5 linked regions of the Macaca mulatta genome follow. The protein of the gene in region 2 purifies or fractionates together with the protein of the main gene of each other region. This does not show direct contact. Links are inferred from orthologs where the notes say so. Each region holds a gene or a part of one and is shown on either strand. Other genes may lie near its edges. The genes, in order: SPAG5, MYCBP, OTUD4, ARFGEF2 and ARFGEF1.

Region 1 (3,942 bases), on a different chromosome or scaffold from region 2:
CTCGAACTCCTGGGTTTAAAGGATCCCCCTGCCTCTGCCTCCTCCGTGCGGGGATTACAGGCAGGAGCCATGGCACCTGGTGCTATTTTGCATTTTTTTTCATACCAAGTGTTTGAAATCCAGTTTGTACAGTGTTTTACATTTATAGCACATTCCCACTGGGACTAGTCACATTTGAGGTGCTCAAAAGCCACTATGGCTAGGGCTAATGTATTGGACAACACAGTGCTAGGGAGCCCGTCCTGAGGACGCTGCAGTTTATAACATCATAGTTCCTACTCTTTGGACTGCTGCTTTCCCCCAATGTATTAAGACTTGCAGAGTGTAAATAGGGCGCCGTGAGTGTGCAAAGGAACACACCTTCGCAAACGGCTCACTCTGAATACTTACTTTTCGGCTGTCCTACCTTCAATAGGCTTCCCGTGCACAAGCAGAAGGCAGGAGCTGGCGGGGCGGGGAGGAAGGGCGGCTCTGCCATTTAACTATCTGTGCGATGCTGAGCAAATTACACACGGTCTCTCTGACTCAGCTCCTTCCTGTTTCAAATGGGTATTATAGTATTTCTCACTACGTGGGTCCTTATGCGGATTAAATGAGCTACTACACGCCATTCGGCACAGCGCCAGGCACACACTCAATGTTCAATACATGTAGGCGGTAAGCCCAGTAAACTGGTAGCCGGCCTGAGCAAGTCCCAGGAAAAGCCCAGAAACTCTGGAGACATTACAGCCCAGGTCAAGAACCACGGCCCAGGCCGTCCTGTACGCGGGCCCACCAAGCCTAGGGAAGCAGCTTGTCACCGCTTCGGCTTCTAGACTCCCTGGCCGGCTCTTTCCCGTCAAGGCTGCGGCTGGAGGGGCCTGAGGGAGACCTAGGGAGCGGCTTCCTCTTTCCATCCACGGAGACAACTTGGATGTGAACACCATGAATGTGAGGAGGTCCACTGGAATCAGGAGGGATGGACTCCTGGACTCCCCAGCTACCTGCGGGGTCCTTCCCGGTGTGAGGACACAAGACCTGTCCTGGGCCGGGCCCGCATCCAGCCCTACAGTCGGTGTCTGCGGTGAGGGCTCCGTCAGCTGAAAGCGCGTGACAACCCACGGGCTGGCAGGACCGGGGGCGTGGTCAACGCGGGACCCGCCCCCGTCCCCGGGCCCCAGCGCCGAGCGGACGCGCCCGCCTGAAGCAGCCAATTGGGAAGCGCAGAGCAGGTTCAAACACAGACGGCGGGTGAACATGGCGTCCTCGACTTGGTTTGAGACGTGATCGGCCTGCCTTCTGGCTGAAGATGTGGCGGGTGAAAAAACTGAGCCTTAGCCTGTCGCCTTCGCCCCAGACGGTGAGCGGGAGAGCTCCGGCGGAGAGAGCTGGGCCGGGCTGCTGGCGCGGGGGCACCGGCCGTGTCGACTGTCCTGGAAAGTTGGGTCGAGCCCGGGGTTGGGTGCTTGTGGAGTCTTTGTTCGCCTTGCCGCTCCTGCGCGACTAGAATGCGAGCCTACTCTTCTAATCACCTCTTGGGCTTCTTAGGGAGGGAGGAAGGGCGGGCTAGCAGAGCCCAGGCTTCCTCACACTAGCCCTCTTTCTTGATTTCTTTCTCAGGGAAAACCAGCTATGAGAACTCCTCTCCGCGAACTTATCCTGCAGCCCGGTGCCCTCACCAACTCTGGAAAAAGGCCCCCCGCTTGCTCCTCGCTGACCCCATCACTGTGCAAGCTGGGGCTGCAGGTGAGATTCGCCTGGACAGCTTCTCGACTGGGCTGTTTGCCCAGGGTGAGAGCTCAGGGGAACAGAGGGCCAGGGCTAGAATAATTAATAACGATAATGAAGTCTTCTACGTCACTGACATCCATTTACAGCTATTCAGGCCAACAGAGAGGTGCCCTAGGGTGGTTAAAGGAAACCTACTGAGAACCTGAATCTCTGTTTAGCTGTTAGTTTTTATTACCTCCTCCTCCTCCTCCCTTCGACCTTTATCAAACTACTTAGAAATCCTGCCACTCTGATTAGTGCTCTTCCTCCAACATGGGGTCACTTATGGAAAGGTCAGTCAGCTGTAAGATTGAGGCAATATCCATTCACTCTAGGAGGTAGTCAGAACTCTCCTGGGATCAAGTTACACCACTGGAAGGCAGGGTACTTGGATCACCTTAGTTTAAACTAGCCCCTTGCAGAATTGCCCTCACTGATTTGTACTTTTGTTAAACGTCTTGAGAGATGTACCCATGTAGAAACTGCATTTCAGTTGCTGTCAAAACTTGTCAAGGAAGAAGCTTGACTCCTGTATAAGATTCCTCAAAGAAAGGCTTTGGGACTAACTGCCTGGAAAAATTGTCTTCCTGAAGAAATTGCTATCCTTTTCTTTCTGATAATGAGAACTATGCAGTTTACCATATTTTCCCTCTTGCTCTGCCTTCTAGAAAGCTCAAGGCCAAACTGGATCATCACATACAGCTACTGTTACTCGCAAAATAGGAAGTTTTGCTTCCTCTTTTTTGACCATGACTTTGTTATTTCATTAATCATATCTATTCATTTTCATGCATATGAATTATTTTTGGAAGGAGATGGGATATCAGTAAAATTGGTTTGAGGAGGAAAGAGTGTATAAAGACAGATGACATCCTGAGTAACAGTAGGATGATAGCAGTCTTTCTTGAAAGAGTTACAAAATACCTACTGTCCAATAGAACTTTCTGGGATGAGGGAAATATTTGATAATCTGTGCTGTCCAGCATGGTAACTACTAGTCACATGGTTACCGAGCACTTAAAATGTGGCTGAGGTGACTGAAGAATTGAATTTTTTTGTTTTTGAGATGGGAGTCTTGCTCTGTCACCCAGGCTGGAGTGCAGTGGAGTGATCTTGGCTCACTGCAATCTCTGCCTCCAGGGCTCAAGGGATTCTCCTGCCTCAGGCTCCTGAGTAACTGGGATTACAGGTGCATGCCACCACACCCAGGTAATTTTTTGTATTTTTAGTAGAGATAGGGTTTCACAATGTTGGCCACGCTGGTCTCAAACTCCTGACCTCAAGTGGTCCGCCTGCCTCGGCCTTCCAAAGTGCTGGGATTACAGGTGTGAGCCGCTGCGCCTGGCCTGAAGAATTGAATTTTTAATTAAATTAAATTAAATTTTTTTTTTTTTTTTTTTTTGAGATGGAGTTTCGCTCTTGTTGCCCAGGTTGGAGTGCAATGGTGTGATCTCGGCTCACTGCAACCTCTGCCTCCCAGGTTCAAGCAATTCTCCTGTCTCAGCCTCCGGCATGTGCCACCACGCCCAGCTAATTTTTGTATTTTCAGTAAAGATGGGGTTTCTCCACGTTGATCGGGCTGGTCTCGAACTCATGACCTCAGGTGATCTGCCCGCCTTCGCCTCCCAAAGAGCTGGGATTATAGGCGTGAGCCACTGCGCCTGGCCTGAATTTTTAATTTAAATAGCTACGTGTGACAGGTAGCTATCATATTAGACAGTACAGCTTAAGGTGGAAAATAAATAAGTACTAGGTAGAAATTGAGCTCTATAGAGCTTATAGAATTTATTATGATTATTAATTAATTTATTTATTTTGAGATGCAGTTTCGCTCTTGTTCCGTAGGCTAGAGTGCAATGGCATGATCTTGGCTCACTGCATCCTCTGCCTCCTCGGTTCAAGCGATTCTCCTGCCTCAGCCTCCCTAGTAGCTGGGATTACAGGCATGTGCCACCACGCCTGGCTAATTTTCGTATTTTTAGTAGAGATGGGGTTTCGCCATATTGGCCAGGCTGGTCTCGAATTCCTGACCTCAGGTGATCCACCTGCCTCAGCCTCCCAAAGTGTTGGGATTACAGGCGGGAGCCACAGCACCTGGCCTGAGCTTATAGAATTTAACCATGATTATTTAATCACAATAGCAGAATACTAGATTGAAATTGAATTCTCCTTCCCTCTTAACTACTGGGCGTA
Region 2 (3,514 bases):
GTAGCTGGGATTACAGGCACATGCCACCATGCCTGGCTAATTTTTGTATTCTTAGTAGAGACAGGGTTTCACCATGTTGGCTAGGCTGGTCTTGAACTCTTGACCTCGTGATCTGCCCACCTTGGCCTCCCAAAGTGCTGGAATTACAGGCACGAGCCACCACGCCCAGCCTGTCTTGTGGTCTTCTAGACACAGCATAACTTTGGCCTTTGCAATTAATTCAAATTGATATTCACCCACCTTCCTCCCCTCCTGTCCATTTTAGTGAGGTTTTCATCATATAATTATTACAGGTAAAATTATCTTCACATGACTTATTTTTAAAATTTTACCTTTGCTTTCAGTTTTTTATTTTCTTCTACAATAGCTTCATATTTCTCTTTCATTTCAGCCAGTTCTAGGCGAAGCAGCTCTATTTCTGGATTCTCTGGGGTAGCAGCTCCTAAGTGATGCTTTAAAAAACTATTATCAATGTTAAGAACTTACTTATTAGACATGAATGAAACTAATGAAATAGCACAGAGTAGTATCAATATCCCTGACCAGAGTCACCCACTTTACCACCAATATCTACCCAGAGATCACCATCCAAAAACTCAAGTGAAAGTAACTTTCTCGGCCGGGCATGGTGGCTCACGCCTGTAATCCCAGCACTTTGGGAGGCCAAGGTGGGCAGATCATGAGGTCAGGAGTTTGAGACTAGCCTGACCAACATAGTGAAACGCTGTCTCTACTAAAAATACAAAAAATTAGCTGGGCATGGTGGCGGGCACCTGTAATCCCAGCTACTTGGGAGGCTGAGGCAGGAGAATCGCTTGAAGCCGGGAGGCGGAGGTTGCAGTGAGCCAAGATCACACCACTGCACTCCCCACCAGGCAACAGTGCAAGACTCCGTCTCAAAAAAAAAAAAAAAAAAAAAAAAACTAACTTTCTCAATATTCAGAAGTATTTTAAAGGTTATTATCTATCTAAAAAAATAAGAGTTTCAAAATAAAGCCTTTTTCTGACTTGAAAGATGAAAGGATACTCCAAAGCACTGTTAGGTTTCTCTGGTTCTTCATATAAGGCTACCAACACTGCAAATCAAAAAGCAGAAAAAGCAACAATTGACGTATTCAATTTGAATGGCTGAAATTATATTCCATTACCCAGTAAATATTAGGTGCCAACTATATGCTGAGCACGTTGCAAAGACTATACAATGCTGAACAAGACAGACAAGGTCCCTGTTCTCAACAAATTTACAGTCAAGCGTAAAAGATATGCAAGGAACTAGAGGGTATCAAGCAGTAATACTGGATAATGGGTTACGATAGCACACTGGAAGAACACCTAAGCAAGCCTAGGACATCAAGGAAGGATTCCTAAAGGAAGGCAAAGACCTGATACCTAGGGGATGAGTGTTTTAAAATGGGAAGGCCCAGGAGCAAGAAAACAATGTATTGAGGAACTGAAAATTCAAGTATGGCTGGAGATGTAATTTGGCAGGAAAGGAAGCTGGAAAGGTGGTCATGGCCACATTATGGAGGGTCATGCAAATTTGGTTGGCATATAATTAAACAGTTTTAAGGAAGGGAGTGACAGGATCCACTCTTAACTGCTATGTGAACCAGCTGGAGTGGGATGAGGATAAAGACAGGAAGAACGGTTAAAAGGCTGATGTGGTAATCCAGTTTAAAAAGACAGCAACCTGCAGTAGAGTGATGGGAGTGATAGAACAGTGAGAAGAAAGAAATTCGAGAATTTAGGAAAGAATCAACAGGACTATGGTAATTACTGGAAGACGCTCTGAATTCAAACATGGTCTTAAAAGTGAAGTTTGTTTTGCTAAATAACCACTAATCAAAAATTTTACCTGTAGTCAACATGCTCAAATCAACATTAAAATAAGATATACTTGAGTGGTTTCATATCTAATCACTCATATGAGCACTGCCTTGCTCTTCATCTATGGAACAAATTCTTCCTAGAATTTACTACTTCGATAAAAAAACTCTAATTTAGTGGTTGGCCTTTTTGTGCATGGAACCCTTTGAAAAATTTAATAAAAGCAAAAAAAGCAACCACACACAAAAAAATGTGGCTGGGCGCAGTGGCTCACGCCTGTAATCCCATCACTTTGGGAGGCCGAGGCGGGCAAATCACCTGGTCAGGAGATCAAGACCATCCTGGCTAACACAGTGAAACCCCGTCTCTACTAAAAATACAAAAAATTAGCTGGGCATGGTGGCCAGCAGCTGTAGTCCCAGCTACTCAGGAGGCTGAGGCAGGAAAATGGCGTGAACCTAGGAGGTGGAGCTTACAGTGAGCTGAGATCATGCCACTGCACTACAGCCTGGGCAACAGAGCAAGACTCTGTCTAAAAGAAAAAAAAACAGTGATAGATATCTAGACCTCAAGTTAAGTCCTGTTGTAAACCAACTTACATACTTCTTTTGTTTTAGAGTTTTAACAACTTACCAAAATAATATACAGTATGAAAAAATCAAATGGGCAACTATTTTTAACAACTTACATTGAGTTGTGATAGTTACTCTTCATCTAAATACACTTAACGGCACTATTTTTTGAGAAATTCGTTGTTTTTGTTTGTTTTTGAGACGGAGTTTCGCTCTTGTTGCCCAGGCGGGAGTGCAAAGGCATGCAATCTCCGCTCACCACAACCTCCGCCTCCCAGGTTCAAGCGATTCTCCTGCCTCAGCCTCTCTAGTAGCTGGGACTACAGGCATGCACCACCATGCCCGGCTAATTTTGTATTTTTAGTAGAGACGGGATTTCTCCATGTTGGTCACACTAGTCTCGAACTCCCGACCTCAGGTGATCCGCCCTCCTCAGCCTCCCAAAGTTCTGGAATTACAGGCATGAACACCCAGCCAAATCCTAATTTTATAAGACATGAATATTAATACTCTTTCCTCTCCTCTTATTCCCCCACCCCATTTCTCTCGGCTTCTAATTTCTGTCAGTGGTACTTACAAGGTTGATCATTGCAGAAGATACTGTAAATACTAAGTTTCCTGTGTTTTTCTATAAATGAAATGCACTTCCTTCTAATCAGACAAGAACTCTATACCCAATCGTGCACCCCTTTTTGCCTTCGTAGCCAGGATTTTTAGAGGTTGATATACTGCTCAAAATAGCTAAAATGCTTCAGCTTCCAAATGATTTATCATCTTTATCTTTAGCCATCCTTTCATAGTGTTTTAATGTTATAAACTATTTCAAATCATCTTGGAAATAAGCTGTAAAAAATTTAGGCCAGACACAGTGGCTCATGCCTGAAATTCCAGCACTTTGAGAGGCCAAGGCAGGAGGATTGCTTGAGATCAACCTGGGCAAAACCCCGACTTACCCAAAAAAAAAAAAAAAACTGGTCGGGCATGGTGGCTCACGCCTGTAATCCCAGCACTTTGGGAGGCCTAGGCAGGCGGATCACGAGGTCAAGAGATCAAGACCATCCTGGCTAACACGATGAAACCCTGTCTCTACTAAATATACAAAAAATTAGCTGGGC
Region 3 (3,514 bases), on a different chromosome or scaffold from region 2:
TTTAATGATACAGCATAAGCCATCTTCTCTTCTCTGTTGAAAAGGGTGAGGAGAGAGACCTTTAAACCCTAGATTTAATCTCGTTTGTTCTCTTTCAAGTTTTCCCAATCAATGTAGTAAAAGCTTCCACAATTTCCTTCTACAATTAGAGCAGATTTATGACAATCCCATAAGGCAGTACCTGAATGAATCATGTTCTCTTTTTCCTCACCTTTAAATACCCCAGAACGAGAACTATTAAAGGTTCTTAAGATAAAATCCTGGCTAATCAGATGACTTCACAAAAGCCAATTTATCATAAAGTAAATGTTTCCTCTGTAAGTCAAAAATAAATGTTTGCCAATGGCTGTTTTAAAGTAGTTTTTTAAAAGGCAACACTTTTTGATGGAAATGATTTCTGATGAGAATTAACTTCTACATAACATTTTTTGTGTATGTGGTTTTGTTTTTGTTTTTGAAATAGCAATATTTTTCCATAAACAAGGAACAAAAAACAAGAAGAGACCGTGTAAATTATCTTACCTAGGGTTTCTTCTGCCTAAGCATTACTGACACTTTGGACTAGGTATTCTTTGTTAGAGGGAGATGAGGGAGGCTGTTCTGTGCACTGTAGACTATTTGGCTACAGCTTTGGCCTCTACCCACTAGATGTCAGTAGCACCCTCCCAGTTGTGACAGTAAAAAATTTCTCCACACTGCTGAATGTTCAGTGGGGGTAGGGGGGGCAGGGGAGGAAGTGAGGGGGTTAACTACTAGATTAAGAAACACTGATTTTAATCCAACTTTCTCCTTTTAACCATCAGCTACTCAAACCCAGGGCAGCTGCATATTCAAATTAATTGGCAAAAACTTCTCTGTGGTTCACTTTCCTTCCTCAGTCCAACAGTAAACATTATGTATGTACCAACATCATCCAAGATGATTTTCATAAACAAAACTAAATGACCTATAGTCAATTTTGAATCAATTTCAGTCAATTTTAACAAAAAAACCTCAATATCTGATATGTTATTATCATTACTTCTTTGAACCAAGTTAATACCAAAGGCTGAATTGTTTTTAAAGATCATGTGATGGAATGCCAGTTTCAGATACATACAATTTTAACAATGTATTCAAATGAGTCAAAAACCTAAATACTTGTAAACTACTAAAATGTATATACATAATAAATATATTCTGAAATCCCAAATTAACAACATATTCACACCTCAGTTGTTTTCTCGGTTCATATTAGAAAAAGCAAGGTTTCAAGTAAAATCTCTTATTTTACATGAGTCACTTACTTGACATTTGTCTCCAACTTCATATTGTAAGCCAGCAGCAATGGAATAATCACGTTTTTGCTGAGCTGTTAAAAAAAAAAAGGTCAGTATAATATAAAGTTGACTTATTTTCAAGTGCTACAAAGCAAATTTATGGAAAATGCAGATTTTTAACTCACCTTGTTTAGACTTCAGCCAAATTTCATATTCCACATTTCTATAGACTGAAGGATTGAGTGACTTAAGAACCTTTCTAGACAAAGGCAGGCTAGGAGAGTTCCCATTGTTCTTCAGCTGCTAAACAAACAAAGTCAAGAAGTCCAATCAACACGAGTGCTTTTAAAACATTTTTGTTTGAGATACATGTAAAACTAAAGTCAAATGAAGAAAAGAAACTTCAAAAAACTAGGAAGCCACCAAATCAATTTCTTAGATGATCCTGACTTGACTGAAATGTACCAGAAAAAAGAAAAAAAATTAAGATTTTAATGTATATGCTTTCTTATATTAAAGAGCTAGTTTTAAAACCACTTTAAAAAAAAAATACCTCATTGTCTGACAAAGGTTTAAATCCATTCACATCAGCAGCAGCAGCAGTTTTACTCCTACAAAGAAAGATAACCATAATTAGGGGCAGAAAAAAGGTATTTGCATGTAATTACCTTCTAACTTCATCTAAAAGTCTTCAAAGTCAGAACTATGCTCCAAAAAGTCAGAGCTATATTCCAGTGAGCTCATACAAGTTTTGGTATAAATATATCTATATATAAAAGAGTATATGTATGTAAATGTATATATATATAAGATAGAAGTCAAAGACAACAGTAATTCTAACTGGCTCAGTAATCAGTAAGAGAACAGAAATAAACTGTGAAATCTGGGTGGGTAGAATAATTGAATTTACTCACGTGTATATTGAAAGCAACTTTTTACATTGTTCTGTAAATTCAATATACCAGTTTCTTTCTTTCAATATACCCGTTTTTAAAAAAAAAAAAAAAATCGATTTACAACAAAAGTATCTATAGGCAGATTCGACAACCCTTTTATTAAAAACACTCTCCATCAGCCGGGCGCGGTGGCTCACGCCTGCAATCTCAGCACTTTGGGAGGCAGAAGCGGGCAGATCACCTGAGTTGGAGAGTTCAAGACCAACCTGACCAACATGGAGAAACCCTGTCTCTACTAAAAATACAAAATTAGCTGGGCATGGTAGCGCATGCCTATAATCCTAGCTACTCGGGAGACTGAGGCAGGAGAATCGCTTGAACCTGGGGGGCGGAGGTTGCAGTGAGCCAAGTTCACACCACTGCACTCCAGCCTGGGCAACAAGAGCGAAACTCCATCTCAAAAAAAAAAAAAAAAAAATACTCTACATCAAATAATGTTCAGCACAATGAAAGCACCATCATCAGCCCTTTAAATTCACTGTCGCATACATACCTACACATATACTCAATAACTAACCTGAGTGTCTACTATGTGCCATGCACTGTACACTGCTGGCTCTTGAACAATACAGGTTTGAACTGTGCAGGTCCACTTACACACAGCTTTTTTTCCAACCAAAAGCAGATCGAAAATACAGTATTCTTGGGATGTGACACCCAAGTACACAGAGGGCCAGCTTTTCATATAAACAGATTCACAGGGCCCGTAGCAGGACTTGAATATGTGCAGACTGTGGTATACTCAAGAGTCCCGAATCCCCTGGTATACACCAAGGGATGACTGTATTATTAGGTGCTGGAGTCTAGCATTTAAGAGAATAAAAACTCTGCCTACATGAAATGTACAATCTGGTGACAACAGATAAAAACTAGTAAGTAATGAGTATGTTACATGCTGATAACTGCTATAAGGAAAAAAAAAAATAAGTAGGCAAAAATGAGTGTTGAGATGTAGGCTGATACAGTTTAGCTTTGTGCCCCCAGCCAAAATCTCATTCTGAATTGTAATACTCCCCACGTATCAAGGGCAAGACCAGGTGGAGATAACTGAATCATGTGGGTGGTTTCCCCTACGCTGCTCTCATGATCGTGAGTTCTCACAAGATCTGATGGTTTTATAAAAAAGAGGCCACAGTGCCTCAGGCCTGTAATCCCAGCACTTTTGGAGGCCGAGGCGGTCAGATCATCTGAGTTTGTGAGTTCGAGACCAGCCTGACTAACACAGAGGAAACCCCATTTCTACTAAAAATACAAAATTAGCCGGGTTGGTGGCGCATGCCTGTAATCCCAGCTACTCAG
Region 4 (3,514 bases), on a different chromosome or scaffold from region 2:
AGAGCCAGAAAGAGCTGCATTTAGATCTTGGCTCCTCCACCTGAGAGCAGTTCCTTGGTTATATGTCTTACCAAGCCTCATCTGAAAAATGGGAATATGGAAAATCATCTTACAGGATTGATTAAATGAAATATCGGTGTTGTCCTGAGCATGGAGCCTTGTACTTTATAAATTGTCACTGTTGTTCCTGTCATTAGTCATTAATAATAATCTTCAATTCATCTATTGTGAATGCTGCTAATACTATGATAGGTATTAGGAAAATAGGCCAGGTGTGGTGGCTCACCCCTATAATCCCAACACTCTGGGAGGCCGAGGTGGGTGGATCACTTGAGGCCAGGAGTTTGAAACCAGCCTGGCCAACAAGACAAAACCCCATCTCTACTAAAAATACAAAAATTAGCTGGGTGTGCTGGTACGCACCTGTAATCCCAGCCACTCAGGAGGCTGAGGCAAGAGAATCACTTGAACCCAAGAGGCAGAGGTTGCAGTGAGCCGAGATCGTGTCACTGAACTCTAGCCTGGGCAACAGAGCAACAGTAAATTTTAAAAAATAAAAATAAGTGTTAAGAAAATAGTTCATGAAAGTGTACCATTTCTTACCATACCTGAACTCAGGGATGGGCAGCGGTGAGGGAGGGCTGTGAGGTAGGTGGATAAAGAGCACCGTCTTCATGGTGTGTTAAGATAGGGTGAGCCAGGTGTCTCAGCCTCCCACAAGTGATGTAAAGTCATTGATTCTCTCAGTGCAGTTGTAGAACCTGCTCTCCAGAATCAGTTGACACTTTGCTCCTGCTGTATTCTCTACTTTGTGATGGAGAGAGACAAAAAGGAATTGGCAGCTCTTGTTCTCAAAGGGCCTGCAATTCCAGAAGGACCCACCTCATGCCATCTGCCCTGATTCTCCTGACATTTAGGTGCTATTAATTCTTTATACTTCTGCTCATTGGTAGAGGAGCAAGGCCTTCTCAAGAAACATACTGTTTGACATTTTTTCTTTTAGCACTGTTACGGTTTTTCATTTTCTTTGCCAGATCCCATGAGCTGCGTTCCAAGGTGGTTTCCCTGCAGCTGCTTCTCTCTGTGTTACAAAATGCTGGCCCCGTATTTAGGACTCACGAGATGTTCATCAATGCAATCAAGCAATATCTCTGTGTGGCCTTGTCCAAAAACGGCGTCTCTTCAGTGCCTGATGTCTTTGAGCTGTCTCTTGCCATTTTTCTTACTCTTCTTTCAAACTTTAAAATGCACTTGAAAATGCAGATAGAGGTATGGACTCCAAAGTTTTTTCATTTGATTGTTTACTATTATTAATAATAATACTCAATGTTGAGAATGCTGCTAATATTATACACTAAGCATTAGGAAAATGGTTCGTGAAAATGTTTCATATCTTACCATCCGGAACTCAGGAGTGGGCAAGGGCAGGGAGGGTAAATGGCATACTCATCAGCTGGCACCCCAGTAAATCAGAACTTTTTAAATGAGTAAGAGAGTATCTTTTTATAAAAAGTTACTGCCCTCAGGCTGGGCACAGTGGCTCATGCCTGTAATCCCAGCACTTTGGGAGGCTGAGGCGGGCGGATCACGAGGTCAGATTGAGATCATCCTGGCTAACATGGTGAAACACTGTTTTTACTAAAAATACAAAAAAATTAGCCAGGCGAGGTGGTGGGCGCCTGTAGTCCCAGCTACTCGGGAGGCTGAGGCAGGAGAATGGCATGAACCCAGGAGGCAGAGCTTACAGTGAGCTGAGATTGCGCCACTGCGCTCCAGCCTGGGCAACAGAGCGAGACTCTGTCTCAAAAAAAAAAAAAAAAGTTACTGCCCCCAGATCTTATGTGCCTTTCATTTTAACCAAAGGATATGGGCTATATGCTGGGCTCGCCCCTTAAACATGTCTGTTTGGTCTGTAAATTGTTTGAAATCATTTAGATTAGTTGCCAAATTGAGAAATCCTATCTTACATGAAACTCCAGATTTCTGGTTTCTCTCCAAAAAGTCACAACATGGGTCCTGCATTTCCACTTGGCAGCTCCCCTGATGGCCCCTACCCTGCCAGCCGTCCCCACCAAGGCCAGGGTCCTGACGCTGCCCAGCCGGGCGGGCGCTCCACTCTCCTGCCCAGGGTGCTTTACTTACTGCAGGATCGGGTTGGCTTCTGAAGACTTTGGAGGTTTTGAGCCCTGGTTGAAACTGTTAATTAGTGTCCTCCTTTGTCTTTATGTCATATAGGTCTTTTTCAAAGAAATTTTCTTGAACATTTTAGAAACATCAACAAGTTCTTTTGAGCACAGGTGGATGGTCATTCAGACTCTGACGAGGATCTGTGCAGGTATTTTCACCTGGGGACACTCATCCACTGGACTTTTGATGCTTTAATTTGCCAAAGCTCAGATTAAGACTTTTAACTCCTCCTTTTAGAGTTTTAAAGAAGGATTGGAAATAAAAGGCTAATTCTAACCTAGTCCTGTCCCACCTCTCCTTTTTTAGAGGATGACCAACTCAGGCTGGTTTGCCAAGGACTTCCTGGTTTTAGCACTAAGTCTCATGTCCCAGAAACCCCCTAATCTCATCAAACTGGAACACTTGGTTACATTACCTACAAGCTGAGTACTGTTAGTCACAGGACCTAAGATATTGGTGCTGCCAATTTTTGATTGGGTGCTATGGTAAATGTGGATTTACCTTACACTATACAATTGTGTGGCCTCAAAGTAAGCATCCTGCTTGTCTGGCATCTAATGTATTTTTATAAGAGTGACACAACTTTAAGAGGTGGATCAGGCAATTGTTAGCCCCTTCCTTGATGAGAAAAGTGAGCCTTGGACGGGTGGAATGAACCGCCTGAGATTTCAGTTTGCTCAGAAGCGGGCCTGAAAACAACCTCCTCTCTGCCAGCTTCCTAGTACTTCCAACATGTGTTTCCTGAGTGAGATGCGGCCACTGGAGCCTGTAGTTCACTGGGGAAATTTGTTGGCAAACATCTTGTTTGATAAGAAAACATAACTGCTATTTGATCAGAATTTCTGATACTTGTATGTTATTTTCCAAGATGCCCAGTGTGTTGTGGATATTTATGTCAACTACGACTGTGATTTAAATGCTGCTAACATTTTCGAGCGCCTTGTAAATGATTTATCCAAAATTGCTCAGGGAAGAAGTGGACATGAGCTGGGAATGACACCTCTGCAGGTAAAAACACTGTGGACACTCAATTGTATTAAAGTTTATTCATTCCAATAAACATTTATTGAGTGCCACCACATGCCAGGCACTGTCCTTGATATAGCAGTGAACAAAACAGGCATACGTATTCTCACATTTCCTGCCATCATAAAACGACATTAAAGAAGTCAGTTCAGATGATCATAAGGTCTGCAGAGAAGAAGAATAAAGCAGGGACGGCAGAGAGGAAGTGCTGGAGGTGGGGTGCTGTAATTCTTAATGGAGTCATTAGGGTAGTATCCCTTAGAAGGTGACCTTTGAGCTGAGACCCATAGGAAGCAAATTC
Region 5 (4,295 bases), on a different chromosome or scaffold from region 2:
CTGAGTATACAGAAGGGACAAAAAAGTAAAAACTGGCAAAATCTGGAATAGACAACGCTGCTACAGTTGGCACACATATCAAGTAATCCCTACCTCCAGAAATGGCAAGGACCATTTAGAGCCCTACATAGGCCCTCTAAAGATGATGCTCATGAGTGGTAGGGAATACCCAATGCATGAGTTAACAGGACAGTGCAATCACATTCATGGCACATTAGAGGAGATGTGACCATACAATCATTAAGTTCAATACCCTAATTTTACAGAAAACTTAAGGCCCAGGGACTTGCTAAATACAACGACGTAACACAACTGGGATTTAAATATAGGATCTCTGACTCTCATTCCAGTAGGCTCTCCATTAAAATATGCTTATTTATGTTACCATTTTGGAGAAGGAAAATATATACATACACACAACACACTCCATTTCTTCAGTTTGATACTTACAATTTAATGTATTAAAAATATGTTGTAACATGAAAAATCTGAATTATAAAAAATTAAGGCCAGGAGAGGTAGCTCACACCTATAAACCCAGCACTTTGGGAGGCTAAGGTGGGAGGTCTCTTGAGCCCAGACTTGGAGACCAACCTGGGCAATATAGAGAGACCACCATCTCCACCCCAAAAAAAAAAAAAATTAGCCAGGTGTGGCGGTGTGCCTGAAGCCCCAATTACTTGGGAGGCTGAGGCAGGAGGAATGCCTGATCCTGGGAGTTTGAGGTGGCAGTGAGCCCTGATTGTGCCACTGTGCTTCAGTCTGGGTGACAGAGCAAGCCCCTGTCTCAACAAACAAAAATTTTAAACTTTAATTTGAATCTCTCTAAAGTTCTTTCACCTTCAAGTAATTTATAAACCTACATATAACAATTATTTTAAAAATTCTAAAATCACTTTCTCCCCAGTCCCACCCCAATTTAATTATTCCTTTCAGGATCTAGATATAAATACAGTTTCTGCCACTAGACAACGGTATTCTCATACACGGGGAACAGTCTTTTGTTACCAACAAAAATAACAAAATGCAAACTTCAAGTCGATGAATAAGGTGAAAAAACAAACTTAAGCCCCTTATACTACACACTCAAATTTTTTAAGATGAAATTTCTTTGACGTTTTCCATATTACCAATTTTAACGATCTAGGGGAAAAAAAACTACGGTATATCACAGCAAATTAAATAGTAGTCTTCTACTTATTTTGATAATTAAAAACTAATTTTAACTTGTCTTGACTCCTTAACTTTAGCATACTTTATTGTGGATTTTCTCCCTTTCAAGAAGGCTTTTTTCCAAAGCCTATTTAGCAAGCTTCCTTTTCTTGCCAATTTGACTTAGTGTATTTCCAGTGCTATAAAGTGTAAGCATTAGGAATGCATCTTTGTGTTAAATGGTCTCTCAAACGATTTCATCTTTGATGGATGCAATAGATCTAACAATGTTCCCCCTTTAACTATTCCTTATCTGCCTAACCTCATAGGCAGGAGGTATTGTTTAGATTTTCCCTGCTGCGGGCTTCATTACACTAGATCTCTTCCATCTGAACTATAAATCACAATTCAAGCTTGAGAACAGCTGCCACTGTCCAGACATGTGGCTAGTGGGTGTCATTGTCTTTTTCATTTTCCTCATTTCAAACCCTCCCTTCCCTTGTCACCTAAAGCCATTTTATCTAAAGGTTCTTTGCTTCCCTGCTTTCACGCCGCCACCCCCACCCCTTAACCACCGGACTTGTTCTTCCAGGTCAGCCCAGTCAGATACAATATTACTCTATGTTTTTCCTGTGGCAGAGGCGGAGAGATGTCAGAACCGGCTGCACCTCTTCTGAACCCCTTCTCAAGACTGTCAACAAGGAAACAACTTCAGCAGCCTATCTCCCCAAAGTACCTCGCTAAACGAAAAAGTTATTGATAATTATGATATGGAACATTTCCCACGCCCAATCTTGACATACCGGCCCCACCTCAATTTCCAAGCTAATAAACAACAGCTCATCTTCTGCTTCATCACAAAGGGTGGTATCCAGTCCGCACCTCACGGACCACCAACAAAATCCTCACTCTCAAGTCGATCCCTCGAACCCAGGTGCCTCGCGATCCTATGCCCGGCCGAGTTTCCCAAGCCCAGCTCACCGCCCTTCCTCCCCTACCCTGCCTCTGCCCCACATCCAGCCGAGTTCCTATCAACTCCAGACAGGGAGCAGAGAGCTCCGCGAGGGCTCCCCGAGGTCAGAAGCGCGGGCCTCGGGCAAGCCTCGGGCGACCCCAGCCCCCCACGGGCGCCCCCCTTGTCCCCCCGCCCCACAACAAGCACCCCATCCCCCGGGCCTCCTCCCCACTCACCTAATGCCACCTCGCAAGCTTTGCGCAGCTGGGAGTGATGCGCCTTCTTCACTTCCTTGTCGGCCAGTATCTTCTCCAGGGCCCGGGTCAGGAACATGTTCTTCGTCTTCTTCCCCTCATACATGGACGCAGAGAAGGAGGCGGCGGCTCGTCCGACCCGCGGCTCCCAGCGGCTGGAGGGGAGGAGGAGGAGAAGAAGGAAGAGAAGAGAGAAAGGAGAGGGGGTGGAGGTGGGGGAGTGGAGGCGTGGAGGGCAGCGGCAGGATCAGGAAGGGGCGGGCGAGCGAGACTAGCCGCGGTGCCGCCGAGGAGCGTCGAGGTCCTCGCCGCGCCCGAGAAGCCGTACCTCGAGGGCCGCGCCCGAGAAGCCGTACCTCGAGGGCCGCGCCCGTCGGGCCTCAGCTTCTCCCGGCCCGGGGGTCGCGTCCCGGCCGCCCCTCTCACTCGTCCCTCCGGCCCTGGCGGCGGTAACGGAGCCCGGCCTGGGCGGCTGTCTGCCGGGAAATGAGGGACTAGGTGGCGGCGGCTCTCACAGGCACCGCGAGAGGAGGGCTACCCTGGCTACTGTGGGGATTAGCACCCGCCGCGGCCGCGAACTGGCCTCCATCACCGCCGACCTGCCCCGGCCGCCATGTTGGGAGGAAACGACGCGTCACGCAGCGGCCGAACGGCTGCAGAGGAGGAAACAGCAGCAGCGGCGGCGGCGGCGGCGGCGGCGGCGCTGCCTGCCCAGAGCTACCGCGGCGCCGGGAGGCTGGGGGCGGAGGGCGGCGCGGAAGGAGCGGGCCGAGCCGCAGCGCTACGGCGGCCCGGCGGGGCCTCCAGCGTTCGCCTGCAGGGCGGCGTGGGGCGTGGCGGGCCTCTGGTGGCGCCGCGCCCAGCACTTCGGGCTCTTGGCTGCGGCCGAGCTGCGGAACCGGAGATCCCCCCCACTCGGCACCCCTGCTCCTGCCGAATGAACAGGACTTCTGGCTACTCTGCATCGGCTCCTCTAACTTTCTGATGGGGGTGCAATCCTTTGCATTCCAGGGGTCACAGGAACACCCGCATCGCCAGTTCTCAGCCACACTGGGTCTCCGCCTGCATCACTGGACTCTAAAATTTCCTCCTTCCCCGGTGCACGGAACTGCTATCCAGGACTGTGCTCTCCGACTACCTCAGGGAGGATTCTGTTTTGGGAAAAGTAAGCCAAAACCTATGATAAGGGTTGGAAAATGTTTCACTTTTTTCTCTCTCTGTCGGATGAATCGGTCAACTCTAGACTTCAGGTCCCTTCTGAATCGACTCAGTTAAGGTGAATGGTTGTGAATGAGGTTCCGTAGAGCCCTGTGTTTCTGTGCCTTTAATACTAAGATTTAGTCCAGGACATGTAAACAAGTTTAGAATGGAAAAGCTTTAAGTGCAAACAGATTAACACACGTGACCATGTGTTTGCATTAGTCTGAGTGTAGAACTCAAATTTCTGCAATATTTAATTTCTACAGTTTCCTTCTGAGCAGAAAAAGAATACCATAAAAATATATGCAAACATTTTATATGGTGATCTAGGGTCACGTCTCCGAGTTCTAAGCTACTGTGGCTCCATCCACACAGGTTCCCTAGTATTTAGTATGCATCTGTCACTGTTCATTGCTTAACTGTAGGCTTGTCCTAACGCAACCATCCAAACCTAAGGAAGGAGAAACTTAAGTGACTGTGAACTTAGTGAAGTGACCGGATTTGAGAAGGCTAAAACCCAGAGGAAATAAAATGGAAAACTTGAAGGTGACAAATTAAAGTGGAAAAATAGATTAATTTTTTTAAACTTTATTGTCCTGAGAAACAAATCTATAAATTAATTAATTTTATTTTAGAGACTATCTCTAGATTACTGGAAATAAAGGATTCATTATACTCTTAGATCAGGTATAATACTGATTTCTGTGTATACGTTAATAAACTTTTTTAGAACA

What was found.
Region 1: the proteins of MYCBP (region 2) and SPAG5 purify together in Homo sapiens (co-immunoprecipitation; 3 studies listed by BioGRID and IntAct, with this or other methods). This does not show direct contact. The link is inferred for Macaca mulatta from reciprocal best matches to the Homo sapiens genes MYCBP and SPAG5.
Region 3: the proteins of MYCBP (region 2) and OTUD4 purify together in Homo sapiens (co-immunoprecipitation; 3 studies listed by BioGRID and IntAct, with this or other methods). This does not show direct contact. The link is inferred for Macaca mulatta from reciprocal best matches to the Homo sapiens genes MYCBP and OTUD4.
Region 4: the proteins of MYCBP (region 2) and ARFGEF2 purify together in Homo sapiens (co-immunoprecipitation; 4 studies listed by BioGRID and IntAct, with this or other methods). This does not show direct contact. The link is inferred for Macaca mulatta from reciprocal best matches to the Homo sapiens genes MYCBP and ARFGEF2.
Region 5: the proteins of MYCBP (region 2) and ARFGEF1 purify together in Homo sapiens (co-immunoprecipitation; 4 studies listed by BioGRID and IntAct, with this or other methods). This does not show direct contact. The link is inferred for Macaca mulatta from reciprocal best matches to the Homo sapiens genes MYCBP and ARFGEF1.

The regions. Positions count from the first base shown.
Region 1 is NC_133421.1:37,300,175-37,304,116, reverse strand, and holds the start of SPAG5 (sperm-associated antigen 5), read left to right. Parts: upstream 1-1,140; 5' UTR 1,141-1,288; coding exon 1,289-1,339; intron 1,340-1,599; coding exon 1,600-1,725; intron 1,726-3,942. UniProt on the Homo sapiens protein: Essential component of the mitotic spindle required for normal chromosome segregation and progression into anaphase. Required for chromosome alignment, normal timing of sister chromatid segregation, and maintenance of spindle pole architecture.
Region 2 is NC_133406.1:201,940,035-201,943,548, reverse strand, and holds part of MYCBP (C-Myc-binding protein), read right to left. Parts: intron 1,077-3,514; coding exon 1,028-1,076; intron 463-1,027; coding exon 333-462; intron 1-332. UniProt on the Homo sapiens protein: May control the transcriptional activity of MYC. Stimulates the activation of E box-dependent transcription by MYC.
Region 3 is NC_133410.1:153,741,290-153,744,803, forward strand, and holds part of OTUD4 (OTU domain-containing protein 4), read right to left. Parts: intron 1,871-3,514; coding exon 1,813-1,870; intron 1,563-1,812; coding exon 1,445-1,562; intron 1,352-1,444; coding exon 1,287-1,351; intron 1-1,286.
Region 4 is NC_133415.1:101,785,522-101,789,035, forward strand, and holds part of ARFGEF2 (brefeldin A-inhibited guanine nucleotide-exchange protein 2), read left to right. Parts: intron 1-1,034; coding exon 1,035-1,269; intron 1,270-2,235; coding exon 2,236-2,335; intron 2,336-3,055; coding exon 3,056-3,195; intron 3,196-3,514. UniProt on the Homo sapiens protein: Promotes guanine-nucleotide exchange on ARF1 and ARF3 and to a lower extent on ARF5 and ARF6. Promotes the activation of ARF1/ARF5/ARF6 through replacement of GDP with GTP. Involved in the regulation of Golgi vesicular transport.
Region 5 is NC_133413.1:78,034,513-78,038,807, forward strand, and holds the start of ARFGEF1 (brefeldin A-inhibited guanine nucleotide-exchange protein 1), read right to left. Parts: upstream 2,808-4,295; 5' UTR 2,718-2,807; exon of another isoform or gene 2,690-2,717; 5' UTR 2,468-2,689; coding exon 2,344-2,467; intron 1-2,343. Other genes in the region: uncharacterized protein LOC144330803, read left to right, coding at 2,975-3,346. UniProt on the Homo sapiens protein: Promotes guanine-nucleotide exchange on ARF1 and ARF3. Promotes the activation of ARF1/ARF3 through replacement of GDP with GTP. Involved in vesicular trafficking.